3 linked regions of the Arabidopsis thaliana genome follow. The protein of the gene in region 2 interacts with the protein of the main gene of each other region in a pairwise test. Each region holds a gene or a part of one and is shown on either strand. Other genes may lie near its edges.

The links. Proteins that work in one complex are often made in the same cells at the same time.
Region 1: the proteins of DBP1 (region 2) and PIL1 interact in a two-hybrid assay, tested with the Arabidopsis thaliana proteins (one large-scale study listed by BioGRID).
Region 3: the proteins of DBP1 (region 2) and MBD6 interact in a two-hybrid assay, tested with the Arabidopsis thaliana proteins (one large-scale study listed by BioGRID).

The regions. Positions count from the first base shown.
Region 1 is NC_003071.7:19,294,038-19,301,578, forward strand, and holds PIL1 (phytochrome interacting factor 3-like 1), read right to left. Parts: upstream 3,822-7,541; 5' UTR 3,642-3,821; coding exon 3,568-3,641; intron 3,501-3,567; exon of another isoform or gene 3,485-3,500; coding exon of another isoform or gene 3,477-3,484; exon of another isoform or gene 3,394-3,476; coding exon 2,859-3,393; intron 2,778-2,858; coding exon 2,670-2,777; intron 2,582-2,669; coding exon 2,516-2,581; intron 2,411-2,515; coding exon 2,345-2,410; intron 1,982-2,344; coding exon 1,580-1,981; 3' UTR 1,394-1,579; downstream 1-1,393. Other genes in the region: CYP709B1 (cytochrome P450, family 709, subfamily B, polypeptide 1), read right to left, coding at 1-175; ASY3 (asynaptic protein), read right to left, coding at 5,831-5,893, 5,989-6,080, 6,259-6,393, 6,866-6,924, 6,998-7,147, 7,230-7,299, 7,378-7,509. UniProt on the Arabidopsis thaliana protein: Transcription factor. Involved in responses to transient and long-term shade. Required for the light-mediated inhibition of hypocotyl elongation. Necessary for rapid light-induced expression of the photomorphogenesis- and circadian-related gene APRR9.
Region 2 is NC_003071.7:10,902,216-10,909,645, forward strand, and holds DBP1 (DNA-binding protein phosphatase 1), read right to left. Parts: upstream 3,053-7,430; 5' UTR 2,764-3,052; coding exon 2,581-2,763; intron 2,365-2,580; coding exon 2,158-2,364; intron 2,047-2,157; coding exon 1,835-2,046; intron 1,516-1,834; coding exon 939-1,515; 3' UTR 780-938; exon of another isoform or gene 662-779; 3' UTR 501-661; downstream 1-500. Other genes in the region: AT2G25610 (ATPase, F0/V0 complex, subunit C protein), read right to left, coding at 1-70, 158-426; AT2G25625 (histone deacetylase-like protein), read left to right, coding at 4,347-4,447, 4,527-4,884; BGLU14 (beta glucosidase 14), read left to right, coding at 6,145-7,266, 7,318-7,430.
Region 3 is NC_003076.8:23,948,410-23,955,100, reverse strand, and holds MBD6 (methyl-CPG-binding domain 6), read right to left. Parts: upstream 2,970-6,691; 5' UTR 2,781-2,969; coding exon 2,472-2,780; intron 2,063-2,471; coding exon 1,940-2,062; intron 1,862-1,939; coding exon 1,616-1,861; 3' UTR 1,394-1,615; downstream 1-1,393. Other genes in the region: AT5G59390 (XH/XS domain-containing protein), read right to left, coding at 1-167; ACT4 (actin 4), read right to left, coding at 3,515-3,580, 3,686-4,299, 4,448-4,841, 4,933-4,992. UniProt on the Arabidopsis thaliana protein: Transcriptional regulator that binds CpG, CpNpN and CpNpG (N is A, T, or C) islands in promoters regardless the DNA methylation status. Plays probably a role in gene silencing. May associate with histone deacetylase proteins (HDAC).

The DNA.
Region 1 (7,541 bases), 8.4 Mb from region 2:
TTATCTCGCTGAGGTTTCCGTAAAAGATTCTGTAATTTGGGCCTGAGATTCCTTGGTTTTTGAGTCTTCTGGTCAACACAAATGGATGCCAAACAAGAATCATAAAAGCTTTGAATATCCTGAGACCAATAATAAGGATTAAGACAATTAGTGCCAAGAAAATTACGAGCCCCATGGAAAAGTTTTTTTTTCCTTATGTTTGTGTGTGTGTATTGTTGTTCTTGGTTAGGTGTTTTAAGTTCTACACTATATAATGACATGCACATATAACTTTGTAAAATAAGTCTATGGCCAGTGAATGAAACACTATCTAAACACTACATGAAGTTAGCACAAACACGTCTGTTTATTTTCAATTTGAGAACAAACAAAAAGTAATTAATAAAGTAAAATGTGTCTTATATATGGTATGATGATAGAGTAGATTCTAAATATGCCTATAGCACATATTTGTTACGTAATAAGACAATTATAGAAAGTATATAAAAAATGAGTGGATAAAAGAAAAATATAAAATTACTCATGAAAGCTAAGTAATCCTTTTGGGAGAATAATTTAGTTTTAGCATTCATTGTATCTTAGGTTTACTGTTTCTGTATCTTTAAAATAATCCGGCATGGACAATGAATCAATGATTTGTTGTTAACATATCATTGTGAACAAAATACTTGATGAACTAATTGTTTGGAGAGTTAATTTGGTATTTGAATTCAAACGAAAATGTTATAGAAATAGAAGTACAACATTGTGAAAATAAATAAACAAAGATGAGAGATATTTATCAACCAACGGTGCAATGTGATGGATCGTGACATCGAATCTTAAAATGAAACACTTTTTCGTTTGTTATCTACTTTTGCATGGTTTCATATTTAAAGGAAGTGGTTGAAATTTTATTTCTATACTAAAAGAATTGGTTTAGACTTAACTATCCACTTTCTTTAAGTATCATGTTAACTCATGAAATAAGAGTCATCTATTTTTAAAAGAGAATCTTCACATTGATTTCAAGTTTTCAACGCACCTGACGCTAAAATATCAGAAATTCAATGTGTGAGTCTCATCTTCATCACACTATTGCACTCCCTTGTTTTCGTGTTTGAAAAAGCCCAATTAATTTTTTAATGTTTGAAAAAAGAAAGAATAAAGTAGATATTAGTCCACTAAAAAGCCCATCAAGCCCAAGTTTTGTAGTACTTTACTCAATCTCATCATTGAGATTGTTCCTTAATCCCAAAAACATGGCAAAATTCGTTTCAAATTACGATTTAGGTCAAATGAGTTGTCTTCATCTTAGTTGGGTTTGCGTTAAAATCGGTTTATCGTAATTGAACACTCATCATCATCCATCATTATGCAATTGCACGTCCTCTACTTATAACTTTGTTATAGAGTCTATGATAACTTATATTTGTTATATTTTACTTTGTACATCCACTTTGAAAATAGTTGGAATTAAGTTCAAATCGTTCCAAGAATCAAGGCCCAAAAGCCCATAGACTAACAACACAGAGTAGACGATCATTTTTTTTTGCTTAAAGTTAGTTAGTTGGAGAAAACATCAACTTTCTACAAATCATTAGTTTGGCGAGCGATAATAACTAAAACCGTTGCTTCCTCTATATTGCATTGCATCTTCTAAGTTTGAGGCGGACGCAGACTTTGGGAATTGAGTAAAAGAAGTAGCCTGAGTCTGAGAAACACACGAAGGCACCACGAATGGCTGAGAGCAATTTTCCAATGGAGAAAAGATAGGAGTGTTTGGAATTAGTCCACTTGGGTGATTAAGAAAGCTTAGCATTTGTGGTGGTGCATTGTTCATCCCCGGAAAACCGGTTGCTTGAACATTCATAGGCAGGAATTGCGGTATTGATGTTGGTGTTGCTGCTGCACCCATATGCATTCCTAGACCCATGGGAGAGTAATGACCCATTGGCAACATCGTAGGTGGTCTTATTAATCCATTTCCCATACTCATCATCTGTAAATAATTATTAGAGCATGTTAATTAAGAATCTTATATATATGTAAAAAAATTTGTAGTAAAATAAATAAGGAATAAACTTTTGATTGTTTATTGATTAGTGTTTAATTACGTTTATAATTTGTTTTGGTTTCTCTTATGAAACTAGTTTCTAGTGACTTTATCAAGAATCATTCGTAAAGGTAAAAGCCAAACGCAATAATATTTGATAACAAAAACACTTTACAAAGTATATTTTAATGTTAAAAAACAAATTTATATGTAAATATAAACACAAGTCTGTGTTTAAATAATTAACACCTGAATCATTTTATTATCTCTCAATGAAATTTTATTGAATTGGTGTATTATTTTGAATACCTGAACTTGAAGTTGAAGGGTCCGCATATATTTGATAGCCTCATCCAACAATGAAGCCTTATCATCCTATCATCAACAATTACAGATATTCAGAAATCTCCACAAAGAGAAAATTAATTAACTCTCTAAGACTAAGTAAACAATGTAATGTGATTTAAGTTAATCTCAAACCTTGTAACAATTTGGTAGTAGGTCCTGCAAAGCACGCATTTTCTTGTTGAATTCATCTCTTCGTTTCTGTTAACAAATCCTTAATTAGCATTAATTTTCATACATTATTTTTTTTCTACTAACTAAGGTGAAATTTTCATACATATAAACTCACTCTTTCATATAACTTATGGACTTCTGTGCTTCGTTTTCTTTTAGTCACCGGCTTTCTTGTTCTCGCATGAACTTGTGTCTTCGCATCATCTGATTCATCATCTGAATTCTGCATAAGCAATAAGAAAAAGACAATTAATGATCTACCATGTGAAAGAACTAAGACAAGCAGCTAATTAATTTCTCTTACATTACTTAAATAGGTTGATTCTTCTTCTTCAATATCTCCATACTTCCTCTTTAAAGAACAACAACTTAGATCTCTCGAAGTTCCTCGAGAAAACTTCGATGAAGAAGCAAAATACAATTCCGTGGATCTACCAACAGCTGCAGATTGCTCATCAGGAGGAGCTGTAGTAACTTCAACATTCTTTGGACCTTTAGCAGAAACATCAATTAATGTTGATGATTCAACACATTTGTTGCTTTTCGAAACATTTCTCTCAAATTCGATTTTGGAGGACTTTAGCTTCTTCTTATTGTTGTTCATTTGTTCATTGGTTTCTTTATCTTGTTGTGGCTTAGACTGACTCACCGGAACAACTTGTGTGTCTCCAAGAATCTTGATGTTTTTCTTGAAACCCTCGCTGTACTCGGTCTCATACAAATCCAGGAGAGATTGCCTACGTTGCTTTTGAAAAGAACCGTTGTTCTTTGGTCTTCGAATCTTTGCAAGAATCTGCCCATTTTCACACACCAGCTCCATATAATCTTCATCTTTTAATCTGCAAGAAAAGAGTCACGTATAAATAACCTATTAACAAAAAAAAAATAGTCAGGAGAAGACAAAATTGTTTCAAGCACCGACAGAACCATAAGCGCCCATTATTTCAAAACCACGCATGTGTATATGTTTATAGAAGTCGCAAAAAGTGTAGATGAAACCATAATAAACTTACTTTGGTTTAATGTTTGATGATGGAGAAATCATGTTTGGTTCAGATGATGATGATGCTAAGGGTTTTGCTTCCATTGAAGTAAACTGAACAAAGCTTTCTTTACTTGTCTTTTTTTTTTTCCGGTTTTTGTGAATTGTAGAATCAGAGAGATTCGGACTTCACACTTTGGTTTTCTTTCTTGGGGTTAATGAAGAGCAGCATATATATATATATATAGTCGGTTGTATATATGTATATTCGCTTATTTCATTTATGATTGATTGATATGGAGGATTTGTTTTGGTCCACAACTCATATATTTATCCTTGAATCGTGATTATGACACAGTATGGAGAATTAGTACAAATTATTACCTTACAAACTTTGGTCGACTTCAAATGTTACATTTCAGATTTATAAAATTTACAGTTGCTTTTTTTTAATACAAAACGTATATATTTGTTTGTATATGTGAAATGAGTTTTCGCACGTTTTATAGAAAAAATATAATCATAAATTCATAATAACATAGACTATACTATATATACGCGATAAAGAGTAGTATAAGTATTCATGTTAATGTGTAAATCTTTCATTTTAAAACAAAAATATTGATGGAATAAATGAAAGAAGCAAGATAATGTATGGGCGATAGTGAAAGACAAAGAAATAGAGAGAGAGACATTCTTATGACCGACTTCTCTACTCTCCACCGCTCCATTTTTCTCTGCTTTCGGAAAAAGAATAGAAAAATTAAATAAAAATAAAGTCAAATCTACGATTGCAATTCCTTTTTTTTTTTTTTGTCTTCATCTAAAATGAGAAAATATTAAGCATGATCATTTTTTTAACGTCTGATCCGTGAATTTTACTTGAGCACAGTCAGATATATATATACATATATTTATATATGGTTTTGTGTATTTCCTTTTTATTTAAAAGGTCAGGAAAACACAATGTAGTAAATAGGAAAACACAAAAAAAATCACTCCCGATGATGCTCCAACAATAATGCAACTAGTATTGATTTTTTCGTCATGCAAATTCCTATAAGAACGTGTTCTTAGAAAGTTTAGGAATAAATTCCAAACTATGCAATGACAAAGCGTCCAACTGAACTTACTAAATAATCTCCAGTATTGGAACACACTATTTCTATATTATGTTCGTGTGTTATTTTTTTTATTGAAGATAAAAGTATTATCAATAAGTAATACGCATGTTCAATTGTTCACAATTAAAAAAGAAAGGTCAAAACTTAGGTAGACCGAAAAAAAATCAATAATGTTGTTATCAAAAATAAAACAAAACACTAGTAAAACTGTAGTGAGTGACATGCGAGAGAGACGGGCACAAAAGGCCCACGTGAGCGGAAAGAACCTTCACGCCATTATTAAGACATATATGGATGGGCCCTTTCTTAAAGGCTTTAGTTTTCTCTTTAAATGGGACCCACAATTAGGCTTTTTTTGGCCAAGTTCACGTGCACTTCACGTGAATGCCGCGTGATTCATCCACCCCTTTGTGTTATTTTGTCTCCCTCCCTTCTTTCTTGTTTGTTTCTAACGACTGCTACTATCTTGTCGTCTTCTCCATTTTTACCCTCTCGACACATTCTAAATTCTTTTACCGACCGTAAAAAAAGAATCCTCTGTGATTTGAGATCTCTCTATTTACAAACAAAATTATCTCTACCATGTTTTTATCATCACAGTAAAATTGTTGGGTCCAACATTTTATTTTCTGTTTCATTCGATTGATATCGAATTGTGACCATTCTTTGTTCAGTTTGGTTTTGATATTCAATATGAAATACATCTCTGTTAAAGTAAAATATTGTAATTAAAATTCACATCAACGTCTGCAAAATATTCTGGTTTTTAAAAGAAAAATGTTTGGATTGGTTTTGCTTCGATATATATCAAGATATCAATAACCTAATTAAAAGTTGTTGGTTTAATAAAAAATATCTGCAGTTGCTGGCAAAAATAAATTAAAAAGAAACCTTCAAACTGCTATATAAAATAAGGCTCTATGATATAAGTAGTTTTGTAGTGGTTCAGTGAACAATAAACTATTCTATACGAATACGAATCAATGACAATGAGTCAAAGCATCATCTACTATATCTTCTTTATTCGCCTGAACTCATGAGACCACTAAACCAAAGGCTGGTTTTGCTTGAGAGGTTTTTCTTTCCTGGTTAACACAGTTCGTCTAGTTTATGTTTTAAAATGGAGAATAACGACGTACGTGTGGTTGATTGATTCTGTGAGACTCAGTGTCAATCATCCCTCAAACATTCTGCGACAATCATCTTCAGCTGCAGCATCTTTCCTCTCGCAGACTGTAAACCAATACGTCATTTTTAAGTTGTGCTTTTGAATTCATGATTTAACCATTTTTAGAATCTGACTCTTAAGAAGCAGAACAATGACTTGCCTTGTTTACAGAATCGATTCTTTTGGTCGCATCGTCCAGTTTTGTCTCGATGCCTCCTTCAAAATGTGCAATGAGTTTTTGGTGTGATGTTCCTGTCATAGAGAGATAAAAAGTTATCAAGTGAGTTTAGGAAATACTTGTCCTCCTGCTATTATTATATTAAAACTATCTTGCCATGAAGAATCTAACTTTGATAACATCATATGTTTCAAGTATTTCTAGTGTTAGAATTCGTTGTAGTAAAAGCAGGAATTACAGAAGTTAACATACTTTGCTTCTTTATGCTTCCTTTCAGCTCTGACTGGTTTGCTTCAAGCTCTTCGATAGTACTCTTAAAATCTTCAAGATGATGGCTGACATCGTCCTTGAACTTTTCATGGATCATTCTCATTTTCTCTTCTTGCTCTGTTAGACGATTAGATATTATCAGTGAACACAATAGATCAGAACGGATCTTGCATATTTTTATTCAATGAGTGGAAATATGGAGACATTTCCAGACTCTCATGTTCCACAACAATACACAGCTCAATTTTTTATTATTCTCCACATAGGAATGAATTGAGCATTTAGCTTTGTCTTGATATAACTATGTTAAATGCAAGTTTCATGTCTATGTTAGAGCCGAAAGTATAGTTAGGTGTGTGTGTGTGTCTAATCAAAGAGACATGAAAGCACAAGAATGAAGCAAGATGGTGAGTACTTCAAGACTAAATGCAATCTAAAGAGTAATACTTGATATCAAATTTCCGATCTACTACCTTGAATCAGGATTAAACTGCAAAGATAGTATATTTGAACTTCTAAGCTTTCTTAATGTTCATGACTGTGAATTCGAGTACAGTATTAACTATTAAGATATAATGTGTTGATGTACCTTGTAATCTTGTTTCGGCATGCTTTCTCTTAGTTTTGGCTAGGTTACTTGTCTTTCCCCTGTACCATAATTAACAAGATCTTTGATTGATAATTTAAAAGAAAGAATGCAGAATAAATTATACAAACATACGCTTCTGTTATGATATGGGACTTGATATTCTCCAACTCCAGATGTATCTCCTCGGAGACTGATGCTATAATTTCTGAGGACTTCTTTTCAGCTGCAGATTTCAGTTTTCTCTCAAAGTTTTGAAGAGCCATAGCGAACAATGCAACAGCCCTGAGACATGGTAAATAATCAACTTAAGACAGGAACAAAGATTAAAGATAGACACGTAATATTAGTTATATCTACAAGAGACCTTCCCAAGCCTTCATCTTCATCCTCATCCATCTCTGAACAATGCTGGAAGGAATCAGTTTTATCGATCCCTGCTCAGTTTCCAGGACAAAACAAATGAGGGTGCAGTATATAAACCCACAACAGTGACATACAAATGAGCATTATACCTTTTGACAAAGGGGAGGGAGGACTTAACACGACACGTCCAATGCCCTTAAGGTTAGAGTTCCGTTTAACTGAGCTAGGGCCTAACATAGATCTCTCATTAGTCCAATTGGCAGTTTCTCTTTCTTCGGGGCCTGAATCAGAAGATCAATAGAATAAGCAAAAC
Region 2 (7,430 bases):
ATTCTTGGAAGTGATTCGAGGAGCTTCAATGGCGGCACCGATCAAACTACTTCCGGTAATGTAAATTCCCCTAAACCATAAAGAGAGAGAGCAAAATAGTTTTCGTAAGCATGATGATTTCGCAAATCAATGGGGAGAAGAAGAAAAGGATTTATACCAGGCAGCACCAAGAACAGAGACGCCGATGGAGATGGCGATTCCGATGGCGGAGAAAGTGTACGGGGAGATTCTCACCAGAGCCGCGCCCCATGAACTCGCATGAATAGCCACACCGGACATTTTCTCTCTATCTCTTTGATATGAATGAATTTGATTTGTCTCTTTCTCTGTCTTTCGGAGGAGGAGATGATTAACAGAGCCTGTGCGATCTGAAATTGAGCAACTCCAAATCACGCGCTGATGAATGCGCGTGAATTCAATTACCATCGTATAGGCCTCGTAAGCGATACGAATAGCCCACTTTGATCGGACTATTGGGCCTTGTTCCTCATTTGAATATCCGGGACAATCTCGTTGTTCAGAGTTTCACGATAAAATAGTAACTGACGATGGCTCACTCAGCCTCATCACTAGACTGACTTTTCCAGCATCCGCAAACCGATAAGTGGCGATGTGGTCAAAGCCGACCCTCGAGTTTACTGCATATCTAACATACGTCATTCTGCAAGAACACAACATATTCGGTAAACGCAGGAATTGGAATAACTTTCTAGTTACAAAACAAATGAGACTGAAGCAGAATTATTATTATGCAAAAGTGACAAAAAAATATATCCTACCAAACAATAAATTATTGTATGCCGCCTCATGTTATAACTTACTCAAATTGCGAGAATTTAACAGAACAAAACCTCCAAACCCCAAACTATAAAATTGTAAGAAAAGACAAAACAAAAACAGAGAAATCAATCATTCGTCACCATCCTCATGTCCCCCAATTAGTTTCCCAAGCCATCCAAGTAGCTCTGTAAATCTTTTAAACCCTCCGCCGAGAAGCTTCTGTGAACTCTCAACCTCGGCGCTACCAAGTTCGGTGGTGGCTGTGGCTGAAGACACACAACCACTGCCGTCACATTATCAGCACTCTTCCTCTTCAAAGCTTCCTCAACCAGCTCCTTACTACACATGACCGGGTCATTGTGCTCCTGTAGTCTCCTTCTGGCAAAATCTACAGCATTCTGGCTCATGAACACATCCCAAACCCCGTCACACCCAATTATAAGGAACTCATCCTCTTCTGTTAGTTTTGTTGTCATGAGCTCAGGCTCTGCAATTAGAGGTCCACAATCAGAACCATCTTTCTTCTTCTTCATGCCTTCCATATGAAAGTCACCTAGCGCTCGAGCCACATTAAGTTGTCCATTTAGATAGCCATCGAATACATGTCCACCCGATGCTTCAATGCGTCTCCTTTCCTTACTGCTCATGGGTTTGTGGTCTCTTGACATTTCAATGGCTTTTCCCTGACGGGATAAGACTGCTCTGCAATCTCCAGCGTTTGCTACCACCAACGACCTGTTACCACAAAACTATATGTTAACACGGTACCAAACGGTTTCATACCAGAATACTAATAGAGTATGAAATGAGCAAGTATATACGTGACTCAAAGACCATATGAGACAATAACTACATTATAGCAGCAGCACATATGGGCAGAGAATACATCTACAGGCGAATTAGTTGTACATGATTGTGTTAAAGGTCAAGATTATGCACACTACGCAGTTGAGGATAAGCATCTATTCCCAAACACGTTTTTCTTTAACATAACCAAGATGTAAGAGTTTAGGTTAGACAAAACTAAAAGATAATAAGAGTTGAATCAACAAACCTTCCAAAAAGAATAGCTGCCAAAGCAGTAGTTCCTGAAGCAAGGCTCCCATCCAATGAACACGCCTCTAAGAAGGCAGTGTCTGTTTGAAGAAATGCTGAAGATAACACCTTATTGATTTCACTAGGAAACTCTTGATCTTCAACAATGTACCTCGGTATATGGTGACATGCAAACTCAGCGGCATGCTTCCCACCATGTCCATCAAATACCTAATAACAAACAAAATTCAATAAGAGATCCCCATATTTTCACTACATTCACAGTTGTTTGCTTATGCTACAAATCTACAAAAAATCAGGAAAACTGAAGAAAGAACATACCCCATAGAAGGCACTTGGACCAGCCTCAGAATTCAGAAGGCCAAAGCTATCCATGAAATTATCAACGCATAGATAAGCATCTTCCATGCTTGACCTGGAGCCAATATCAGACCAAGCTCCAGAACGCGTAGCAGGAACAAACTCAGACTTGTTCTTCTCTATAGTAAACTCATTCTCAACAGATATATCTGACACCATTGTCTTCACCTACCAAAATGAAAATCAATCAGAAAACCTCAAACATCTCATAATGACACATTAAAAACAGAAACTTTCTACCTTAATTATACACATTAGGAAACCAATAATGATCAAATCCAAAAGCAGAGCAATAATTACAAAACCTCAACTTAAATTGATCATTCAATACACAAAATAAACCTAACTGATCCACAAATCAAGTTGAAGAGAAACGAATCTTACGAGAGATGAGTGTCGAACCAGTGACCTCTTATTACACGGCGCCAACGATCGCTCGCCGTCGAAGGTTTGCCTGTAAACGGCAGCAGCGGCGGAGGAAGAAGAGAAGGAGAGTGGATTCGGCGGTTTACCGCCGTAACTCGAACTCCCATTCTCTGGATCAGAAATTCCTCTAGTTTCTTCCATATTGAAACATCATCGTATAAAAATTCAATAAGCAATTATGGAAACAGCTGACGAGTCAACTCACGAGTGAGCGAGTCGATTAAAAACGATTTAACGAAGAATGTAGCTTTAGATGAGAGATTCGTAAACAATGGATTCAGAATCGAAAACAAAATTGAAGAGATTGTTGAAAGGTTACACGAATTTCAGGGTTTAAGAGAAAATTAGGGTTTTGTGGAAGAAATTGGAACACGCAGAAAGAGAGAGATAATAAAACTGTTCGCCGGCGGAGGCGAGAAATATGAGTCCGACGGTTATTTAAAAGGCAAAAAGAAAAAGGAAAAAGGAAAAAGGAAGCTTAACATAAACACGAAACGTCGGCGTATTATTTACTTTTTCTCTTTGCTTTTTTTTTTCCTTTTTGTTTTTGAAGTGAGAGATTTTTTTTCTTATTAAAAAAGGGATATATTTACAGTTTATATGAGAAGTAAACATAGTATTTTGAAAAATAGCAAGAAAGGAAATCTGAAATTTTAGACTAATAGCAAAAAGATTTTGAGTTAAGTTGACAAAATTGAATTTTAGTAACTTGGGACCTTTTTTACATCTTTTTTATATAAAAAAAGTCGACACATGAGATATTACTTATAAAATTAAAAATACATTATTTTCATGAATATTTAATAGAGTTTATGAATTTCTCACATATGTTAATTATTAAGTGCTGAAAAATGTTTAATTGTTTTTCTGTATAAATGTTAAGTACTGAAAAATGCTTGGAATGTTTTTCTATATTTATATCTCTGCTATTTATATGTGTGATTTAGTGTTATTTAGGGCATTAAATATAAGATATTAAAATATTAAATTTTTCTATAATTTAAAAATAAGTAAATAAACATGTTGTAGACCGTAATTGCCAGATTATTTGTGCTGTTTCCTAAATACTTTTACATTCTTTGATGGTCACCAAATTAACTATAAGAAAAATTAGGACTCAGTCTCATTAATTTTTCGGAAGAGAAAAAGAATCAGTCTCATGGTAGTTGTTAGGAAATATTTGAATATTGTTTCGCCATTAGAAACTTTTTATGTGGATTTTTTTCCTGAAAACGATGGTTACTATTAATTAAACGGACCGACAAGAACCTTGTTGACGTGGTAACAAGTGATGACACATGCTAATTGGCCATCATTGTCAAATAATTTGTTCGCAAGGCGTGATACGTGTACGTTGTTATTCAGACGTAGCAAACAGATTCACGACTTTTGTTCAATTTGTCTTTGTATGGAGTATGGACCTAACATCTCCAACGGACCAATGCTATTGGGTCAAGTCCATCTTTTCTAGGTTAAGTTCATTCTTTGGGCTTTAGTTAAGTATAGAGAAAGAACATATTGGAAGAAAAATTTAGATGTGGTTTGTATTGCATGCGCATATGAAATGTAATAATTTGAGGATACATATATAGTAAGAAAAAATGAGTGACCCAAGTAAGAATGGGTTAGTAGTTATATATATGTTGGAGGTGAAAGGAATAAAATAAAATTTGTTCTAGGTGGATTCTTAAGAAAAAGAAGGAAACGAAAACAGAGGAATAACAATGGCAGGGAGAATAAGCTGCTGTCTAAATCTTCCTCCCCTAGATTCAAATTCTGCACAATCATTAGCTTCACTGCTCAAGACAACGTCAAAGATCTCTTGGTATCTCTTCTATTCATGAAAAGTTATTATTTACCTGATAATTTTTCATATCAATGATCTTTGTTCTTTTATTGTTTAGTAGGAGAACAGAAAATGAGACAGAGCCACGGAAAAACAAGTGTTCTTTTGTCTTGGGGGTGGCGGCAACTGTCGTAATCGGCGGGATTCAGATCAATGATGTTGCATCAGTGGAAGCTGCGGTTGTGAAATCGCCGGTAGAAGAGATGGCTGCGGGTGTGGTGCCGCCGCGGAGGTGGAGTGACAAGAGGACGTGTCCGCCTTGGCTTGAGAACTCGCTAGAGACCATCGTACCGGAGAATCTTCCTCGTCCGTCTGCTCATCGACGTTTGGAGTTAGCCGGATTAGCTAAGGGTGATGCACCGCCGGTCGGTGTGGTGATGACACGTGTCAACAGGGGTGGTTGTTTCTCCGTGTAAATTGGAAGTTCATTACGTGTAAGGGAGATTGTTAGGCAGGTGTAAAAAAAGTCAATTAGAAACAAATAATACACACAAAAACTATTGTAGATATATTAAATTTTAAGTATTTGTTTGTGTAGTTACTGATGACAAAACATTGAACCAAACTGGTCTTTAATTCATGCAAAATTTTCTTTGAGGATGCCATTTTTGATTTTTGGTTTAAATCGAACCGTATAAAAATAATTAACTCATTAAATTCATTGAGATCTTTATGTGCACGATTAGTTTTGGTCCGTCCTTTTTTTCTTTGTTTTGTAATCTTGTATCCTACCAAATTTTGGGAGTTTTCAGCTTTGTGTGTTAAAGTAGTACTCTATTGGATGTGAAATGAAAGAAAAGTAGTACATGCGTGTAGTACAAAAGAAAAACACTCCAAGTACTTCCTACTGAAATGAGTTGGCCTATTATCGATCCAAAGTGAAGCCCAACTCTATGTCACTCCAACGATTAGTTTGATTTCGGCCTCGTATTTCAAAGTTTAACTACAACTCTACAAATTTCACTTCCATGTCGGACCTTCAATAATTTAATTTCTTGATGCTCATGTTCTTTGCTTTTACAAGAATGGTGAGAGAATAAAGGGAGATTAGCCTTAGCGAGAGAGAAAAGACTCGTAGCATGAAGAGAAGAAGAAGAAAAAATTGGTTTTGCAATAAGAGACCTACGTTAACAAGAAAATGGACACAGCTTGATCATCTTATGCAAATCCACACTCACGATTTTCTAAAACTAGTTTGAAACTTACAGAAAACATTTTTTTTTGTAAATTTCTTAGATATTTCAAATAACTCTCTCGAGACATAAATCATAAAGACGATAACTAGTTAAGATCATTGTGAATAGTTTATAATGGATTTAACAAAAAAAAGAATAGTTTATAATGGAGTCTTGAGAGAGTTATTTGAATTATTTTGGGAATTTACAAAATTGTTGGATAAAAAAAGTAGTTACAAGAAAAAGGAAAATATTTACAAGTGTGTTTCTAATTTTTTCCTACTAGAAAGACAACTAGATAAGATCATTTCAATAGTCTTCTATTCACTAATTATGGACAAGTAAAAATTAAAAGATTTGTTACACCATCTCTATCTTACATTTCTCTATTTATAGATTCACATACCCAATGTAAAAACAAATCTCTTGCCTATATAACTCTAGACATAATTCATTATATTACAACAAACAAAGATTCAATAATCAAAAGAAAAATTTAGAATGACAAGTAAATATTTCTCCGTACTAGTGTTCATCATCTTGGCTTCCAATGAAGTTGTTGCCAAGAGACACTCTTCAACACCTAAATTAAGAAAAACTGATTTCCCAGAAGATTTCATTTTCGGAGCTGCAACCTCTGCGTACCAAGTTGAAGGAGCTGCTCAGGAAGATGGTAGAGGACCTAGTATATGGGATACGTTTTCTGAAAAATACCCAGAAAAGATAAAAGATGGTAGCAACGGATCTATTGCAGATGACTCTTACCATCTTTACAAGGAGGATGTGGGTTTATTGCATCAAATTGGGTTCAATGCCTATAGATTCTCCATCTCGTGGTCGCGTATTTTGCCTCGTGGGAATCTTAAAGGAGGAATCAACCAAGCTGGTATTGACTATTACAACAACTTGATCAATGAGCTTTTGTCTAAAGGAATTAAGCCTTTCGCAACCATTTTCCATTGGGACACACCACAAGACCTTGAAGATGCTTACGGAGGATTCCGTGGGGCAGAAATTGTTAATGATTTTCGCGACTATGCCGATATTTGTTTCAAGAGCTTTGGAGATCGAGTGAAACATTGGATTACATTGAACGAGCCATTAACAGTGGTGCAACAAGGATATGTTGCAGGTGTTATGGCTCCAGGAAGGTGTTCAAAATTTACAAACCCTAACTGCACCGCCGGGAATGGAGCCACCGAGCCTTATATCGTTGGTCACAACCTTATCCTAGCTCACGGAGAAGCAATCAAAGTCTATAGAAAAAAGTATAAGGCTTCTCAAAAAGGTCAAGTCGGTATAGCTTTGAATGCAGGTTGGAACTTACCTTATACAGAATCAGCTGAGGATAGGTTAGCCGCGGCACGAGCCATGGCTTTCACATTCGACTATTTCATGGAGCCGCTCGTGACCGGTAAATACCCGGTTGACATGGTTAACAACGTAAAAGGCGGTCGCTTGCCTACATTTACTTCAAAACAATCTAACATGCTTAAGGGATCATATGATTTCATTGGCATCAATTATTACTCGTCTTCTTATGCAAAAGATGTTCCTTGCTCAAGCGAAAACGTTACAATGTTCTCTGATCCTTGTGCTAGCGTCACAGGCGAAAGAGATGGAGTTCCCATTGGTCCAAAAGCTGCATCAGATTGACTTTTGATATATCCAAAGGGAATTCGTGATCTTATCCTCTATGCAAAATACAAGTTCAAAGACCCTGTCATGTACATAACAGAAAATGGGAGAGATGAAGCTAGCACTGGTAAAATCTTACTTAAAGATGG
Region 3 (6,691 bases), on a different chromosome or scaffold from region 2:
ACTCTCCGACCCGATGGTTCCACCTCCGTTGGTATGTTGGCTACTAGACCAACCCATGGCCACACAAATCGTTGTTGTTGTTGTACAGAACAGTCGTCGTTGTTTTTGGTGTTCTTCATCTCTGAGGTCTCAGCTAGAAATTCCTGCTTTTGTTGATTTTTCTCCATCTTAAAGCTGCAATAAAAGAGCTTTACAAATGAGATTATAGAGGATCCATATATTTAGCTACTGAAAGATCAAGTTTTGAACAACCTAGACAAACAAAAAAGAAACCTTTTTAAGGTTTTGAGTAATGTATATGATTCAGAGTTAAAAATCAAATTTATGTAACATATAGAAACTGGAAATCGAATAAGAAAACAAAAGGAAATCACTTGTTATGAAGAAAACTGTAAAGAGCTTATCTTCTCTCTGCTTCTTCAAAGAACCCAGAAACAAAAAAAAAAACCTCTTTTTTGTGGGTTTTACAGATTCTAGAAATCGAAAAAACACATAAGAAATGGATTTGTTACGTGTACGGATGAAGAACCGAGAAAAAGTGTTCTTTTACAAAACCTTGCAAGCAAAATAAAGCAAATCCTGACTTTAGACCATCCAAATTCCCAATAAAAATGAGAGTCTAAGCCATGGAAAATAAAAAGCAGAGACCTTTTTTTTTTCTCAATTTTCTTCTGCTTGGTGAATCACAAAAATAGTGTGTGTTTTTTTTCCGTTTGACTCTTAAGGTTTTCTCTTCCTCCCCAAAATTGCTTTTTGAAGAGACAGACCGTCGCAGCAAACTCAGTGGCAATACTGTAAATTTTAATAAACAGAGAGGGGAAATGATAGTCAAAAGCCAACAAAACTTAAAACCTTTTCGTTTCACTTTTTTTCAAAAGCTTGGGATACAAGACTAATAAGGAAGCCTCTGGTACACCTAGAAGGTTACAAGACCAAAAATTACTAAATTAGACGATGGGTTGGGAGAGTTCCAATGGCCTTTTTGATAATTTATTGCAGATATTAAATGTGCTACAACCAGTTACATTCGAACCCCACAAATTGTTTGGTTAACAAAATCTAAAATTATGTTTGGGAAAAATATAATTGCGTCTGCCGGGAGTCGAACCCGGGTCTATTGCTTGGAAGGCAATTATCCTAACCGTTGGACTACAGACGCTTCTTGTCTTGTATCAGTGCAGTATTGTTGATGTTTCTTCTTATCCATTAGATTTAGATAACCTGAGCAGGTGAGACATGTCAAGCATTAGTTCTTGAATTACGACACTGGTTTCACAAAGAACAAGATCTTTTCCTAAACACAAAGTAAAAGACTTTGGAACACAGAATAGTTCAGTATCAAAATGTCTAAGAAGAATAGCTTTGTTACTACGACAGTGTCTTCAATTTCATCAGTCAAAAGTCGAATGGTTATCACGTTCCAAAAGCAAACACAAAGATGCATATCCCCTTATCATATTCTTCCAAAAACCGCTACAAAAATTATAGTACACATAACTTGATGATTGATGAATGAAGACTAAACAAGAATTATCCAATTAAGTAACCCTAACATATCTGTGTATCTTACCATAGATGCAACAACCCAAAAATCGCCACCAGGTCATCATAGTCTTCAAGCCGACACTTTACTAGGGTTTCGGCTTGTGATAAAGGTAAACGCAGTGCTCCAATCTCGTCTCACTGAGTCTTGAACCTTGACGTCCCCAATATTAGGTATCCAACCTTCTTCTCCTGCGTTTGCCATAGACCAGCTTACCTTGTCTGGTGGATTCTTAAAATCAAAGTCCAATGGCGGTGGCGGAGGTGGAGGCACTGTAGCGGTTCTGGTGACTCTATTGCTTCCTTGGCCTTCAAAATGCTGCAAATGCAAAATTCAATACACATCACAGGTTTGAAACCAGGGTGAAAGGTTTAATCTTTAAGCATGTAAACTCACGTCTGGATTGAAATATGTATTCTCAGCTTTCTTGGTGCCTCTTTTAGAAGTTCCATGTTCCAAGTAGTACAGCACCTCAGTCCTGGACCGAAACTTACGTCCTGTATTTGGTTCGTAATAGTACTGCAAAACCAGATAAGAAAATGTCACAAGTCTACACATCAATATCTACACCCATATTAGCATCGAGTATAACAACACCAAAACTTCATCTCTTCAATCACAATATATACCAAACCAAACCATCTAAATCCACCTGATAAATCAAAGTAACACTAATCACACTGATAAAGTGTATGATTCAAGTCCCAATACACCATTAACATAATCTAAACAAACTCATTAATGCTTAAGCAGAACCAACCACATCATTTTACTACATCATTACACTTGTCACTACTTTAAAGGCAAGATTTTTAAACCAAAGAGAACAAAACAACAGCAATCAAAGAATCCTCAATTTGTAGTCTTCAAGCAACAACGCAGCTCAAAACTTCATAGAGAAAAGCAGAGTCAAGCTGAGATTCTTTACCTTATCCACCGAACCAGCTGTGGCACCGGAAGTTCGAATCTTATCTTCAACTCTCCAACCAGGAGGCAACCAATTATCTCCAGGCGCCGCACGCTTCCGCGACTTCGATTCCGTCTGATGATTCACCTGATCAGTGCCGTTAGCCATCCCGATGCGTACGCTCTCTCCCGAACCAGAAATTCCGATTCCTCCCTGAATCGGTCGTCGTTTCGCACTACTGTCTAGGGTTCCGTCACCGGCGGAGGAGATGAAGGCTCCGGAGGCGAGAAGTGGATCGGGAGGGAAATCGCCGGCCACAGAATCTGACATACGAATTAGGGATTTGTCTTCACCAATGAGCAATGAGATCGCAGATTTTAACGGCGACGATCTCGAGAAATGGATTCTCCGTCGCAGCTTCTGTTTCTGGGTTTACGATTCGGTTCGGTTAAACCGAGATCGAATAAGAAATTAAAATTTAGTTAACCATCAACAATTCGTTTCTTCTTTTCTTTACCAACAAACATAATAAACACGTTTTATTACTAAATGAAACATTTAAACTCATCTTCTCATCACTAATCCATCAGTTTAACATTTTGTGTTGTGTTTATTGACACTTATTAGACCACATCCATTTAACCGAGTAATCTAAGATTTAGTGAGTTTCGACAATATGCATTTATATGTCACAATTGTTTGTACTAGATCAACATTATGGAGCTTGTTTTGTGTTTGATACGGATGTCTTTGAAGTATATTAGTCACAATTGTTTAACCATCACAAAATCTCTTTTGAGTAACAAATAAATTAAGTTTAAAATAGAAAATATAATAATTGAAATTAGTCGCTTATATATAGTACATTGGGAGTGGAAATTGTTTAAAGAAAAGTATGCTTAGTTGAAAAATTAACATAGAGAGGCTATTCAAAAAAAAAAGGATAAAAGAGAGATTAGAAAATATAATGGAAAAATGTGGCATTTGGTAGTAATCTCAATGTTTTTAACCTTCTGTCTTTTACTTTTACTTCCGTCTTCGTTTGGTGATCTTAGGAACTGTGATTAGAAGCATTTCCTATGCACTATTGAGGGTCCAGATTCATCGTACTCTGCTTTCGCAATCCACATCTGTCAAGTTTTCAAACACATACCAATATTTATATCAAAACAAACTTATGAATGTTATATTATACATGATCAAATAATAATAAAAATGTATATTAATGTGTTCACCTGCTGGAAAGTGCTGAGTGAAGCCAATATAGAGCCACCGATCCATACACTGTACTTCCTCTCCGGTGGAGCCACGACCTTAATCTTCATACTACTTGGAGCCAAAGCCGTAATCTCTTTGCTCATTCTATCACCAATCCCTCCAAACATTGTGGTTCCACCACTTAGCACAATGTTACCATACAAGTCTTTCCTAATATCCACATCACATTTCATGATAGAGTTATATGTGGTTTCATGGATTCCTGGATTTTCCATTCCGATCATTGACGGCTGGAACAGAACTTCCGGACACCGGAACCTCTCTGCTCCAATGGTTATCACTTGTCCATCAGGAAGCTCGAAGCTTTTCTCAACGGACGAGCTTGTTTTGGAAGTCTCTAGCTCTTGCTCGAAGTCTAGAGCAATGTAAGAGAGCTTCTCTTTCATGTCTCTAACAATTTCACGTTCAGCAGTTGTGGTGAAGGAGTATCCACGCTCTGTGAGGATTTTCATGAGGTGGTCCGTGAGGTCACGACCTGCTAGGTCAAGACGTAGGATTGCGTGTGGGAGAGCGTAACCCTCGTAGATTGGTACCGTGTGGCTCACACCATCTCCAGAGTCCAAAACAATACCTAATCAATAATTTGCAAAAGAACCAATTAGGGTTGTCCATAAAAGCATAACCAAATAGTCCTTAAAATAGTTCATATTATTTAAAATCAAGCATGAAAAAAAACTGGTTATAGATTGGATCAACACAAATATAAGTGTGTTACTGACCAGTTGTACGGCCACTGGCATAGAGTGAGAGAACAGCTTGAATGGCAACATACATAGCAGGAGTATTGAATGTCTCAAACATGATCTGAGTCATCTTCTCACGGTTAGCTTTCGGATTGAGAGGAGCTTCGGTCAAGAGAACCGGATGTTCTTCAGGGGCAACACGAAGCTCATTGTAGAAAGTGTGATGCCAAATCTTCTCCATGTCATCCCAATTATTAACAATTCCATGCTCAATTGGGTACTTCAGAGTCAAGATACCACGTTTTGATTGAGCCTCGTCTCCAACATAAGCATCCTTTTGTCCCATCCCTACCATCACACCCGTGTGGCGAGGACGGCCTACAATGCTCGGAAAAACCGCTCTTGGTGCATCGTCACCCGCGAATCCGGCCTAAGCACGGGATATATTTTTGAGTAGTCGTTTATGGCATAGCCTTATATATATGTGACATAGCAATAAGAGTCTTAGAGAGAAACTTTACCTTAACCATTCCAGTTCCATTGTCACAAACAAGCGGTTGAATGTCTTCACCGTCCGCCATTCTTCAATCTATATATGAATATGAATCAAGACCGGTAACAAACAATTGTAATATGCAAATAATGTAACGGTTCCCATGAAATTTTCATTCAACAAGCCATTTTAAATGAAAATGGCCTTACATATTCAAGTTGATTTATCTAAAATCTATTTTTCTTGACATTTTTCCATGCAAGAAAATCGAAATTGTTACCAAGAAACAAGGGTATTTGGTTATCACCTGGTGAATTTTAACGAAGAACAAAACGAGAAATCGGATCCTGCAACGCCCCGACTTGAATGGGTTCAAAATTTCTGAAAAAACGAAAGGAGCTTTGCTTTTTATCGCTTGACTCTTAACAGATCGTGGCCATTAGTTTTTGCTAAATCCTATATCTAAGAGGGTGACGACATGTGTTCACCTATTTTTGGATACGTGAAAGTTCAACATGCCCAAAAATTAAGGTTTTGGTCGTCATGGTTCTCCGGATGAAGCGTTATTGATTTTTTTATTTTGTTAATTAATCGTTATTCAATATTGGGATTTTGAAATATCGGTCATTGAGTCCTGAGATTGATTAAAGATCAAGATGATATATTTAATAATTGTGACATTTTAATAATCAACCACATTCATGGGTCGAGTCCTTAGTATGTTAAAATCCGATTTGTTGTAGTTTGTTACTGCAATTGGACTTCAGATAATGGAATATAAATGTATCAAAATGACCCTTTTTATATGTGTAGATTTGTATATGTGGTATATTTATGAAACATATGATTTTGAGACAACGATATTAACCTCTTTACAATTTTTATTAGCTAGCAATTTATATTAGGATACGGTACTTATTTTGATGTAATTTTCAACCATTCGTAGTTCTTCATGTTTATCTTGATCGAGTGCCTCTGAACCCTTTAGCCCCACTCCAAAAGAAATATGTCGATTGTTATGTCTACTAATGAAAGCCTGATGAAGATCATAAAGATAGACACTTAAAAATTGAACACAGATAAAAAAGTGAGATTATAAGAATGTATAACAGAATAAAACTAGGAATAATTTAAGGGGAGACATGGGGTATTTGCTGAAAAAGTTGGGCGGAGATTGAGAAAATGGTGTAATGATGATAGGATGTGGGGAAGCAACATAATTAAGCATGAGCATGAGATGTAATTATTTGGTATGAGAGACAGTGTGGTTCTTCTGTTATTCGTATTAATATACGATTAGTTATGAAATAGCATTATATATTTATTTCTCTTACCGTCCTTTGAATAAGATACCAATCAAAGTTATATATTTGCATCTATGTAAATGATATGATGCATTTGCTAGAAATTTGACTTTCAGTAAACAAAAAAAAATGTTATTCGAGTAGTTTTTATATATAGTTTAATGAGTGTTTGTGTTAGTTGGCAATGAAACAAATGATATTTGAGTGGAAAAAATATTAATGTCTAGCAAAGAAAAATGAATTTGGATCATTTTGGTCGTTTTCACTTTTCCAATTTAATGATCACGGACAGAAATAATTAATATGTTATTTTTATATAATTTATTAAATATAAGTGTGTGAGTTATTTTTTTGTAATTATATCATTATTTAACGGATTATATATTGATATACGTGGTACATCAAATAAATATATTTTTAAAAACTTGTTATATATATTTTCACAATTGTTTACTCATAGTTTTTACCCTTTTTTATTAGCAA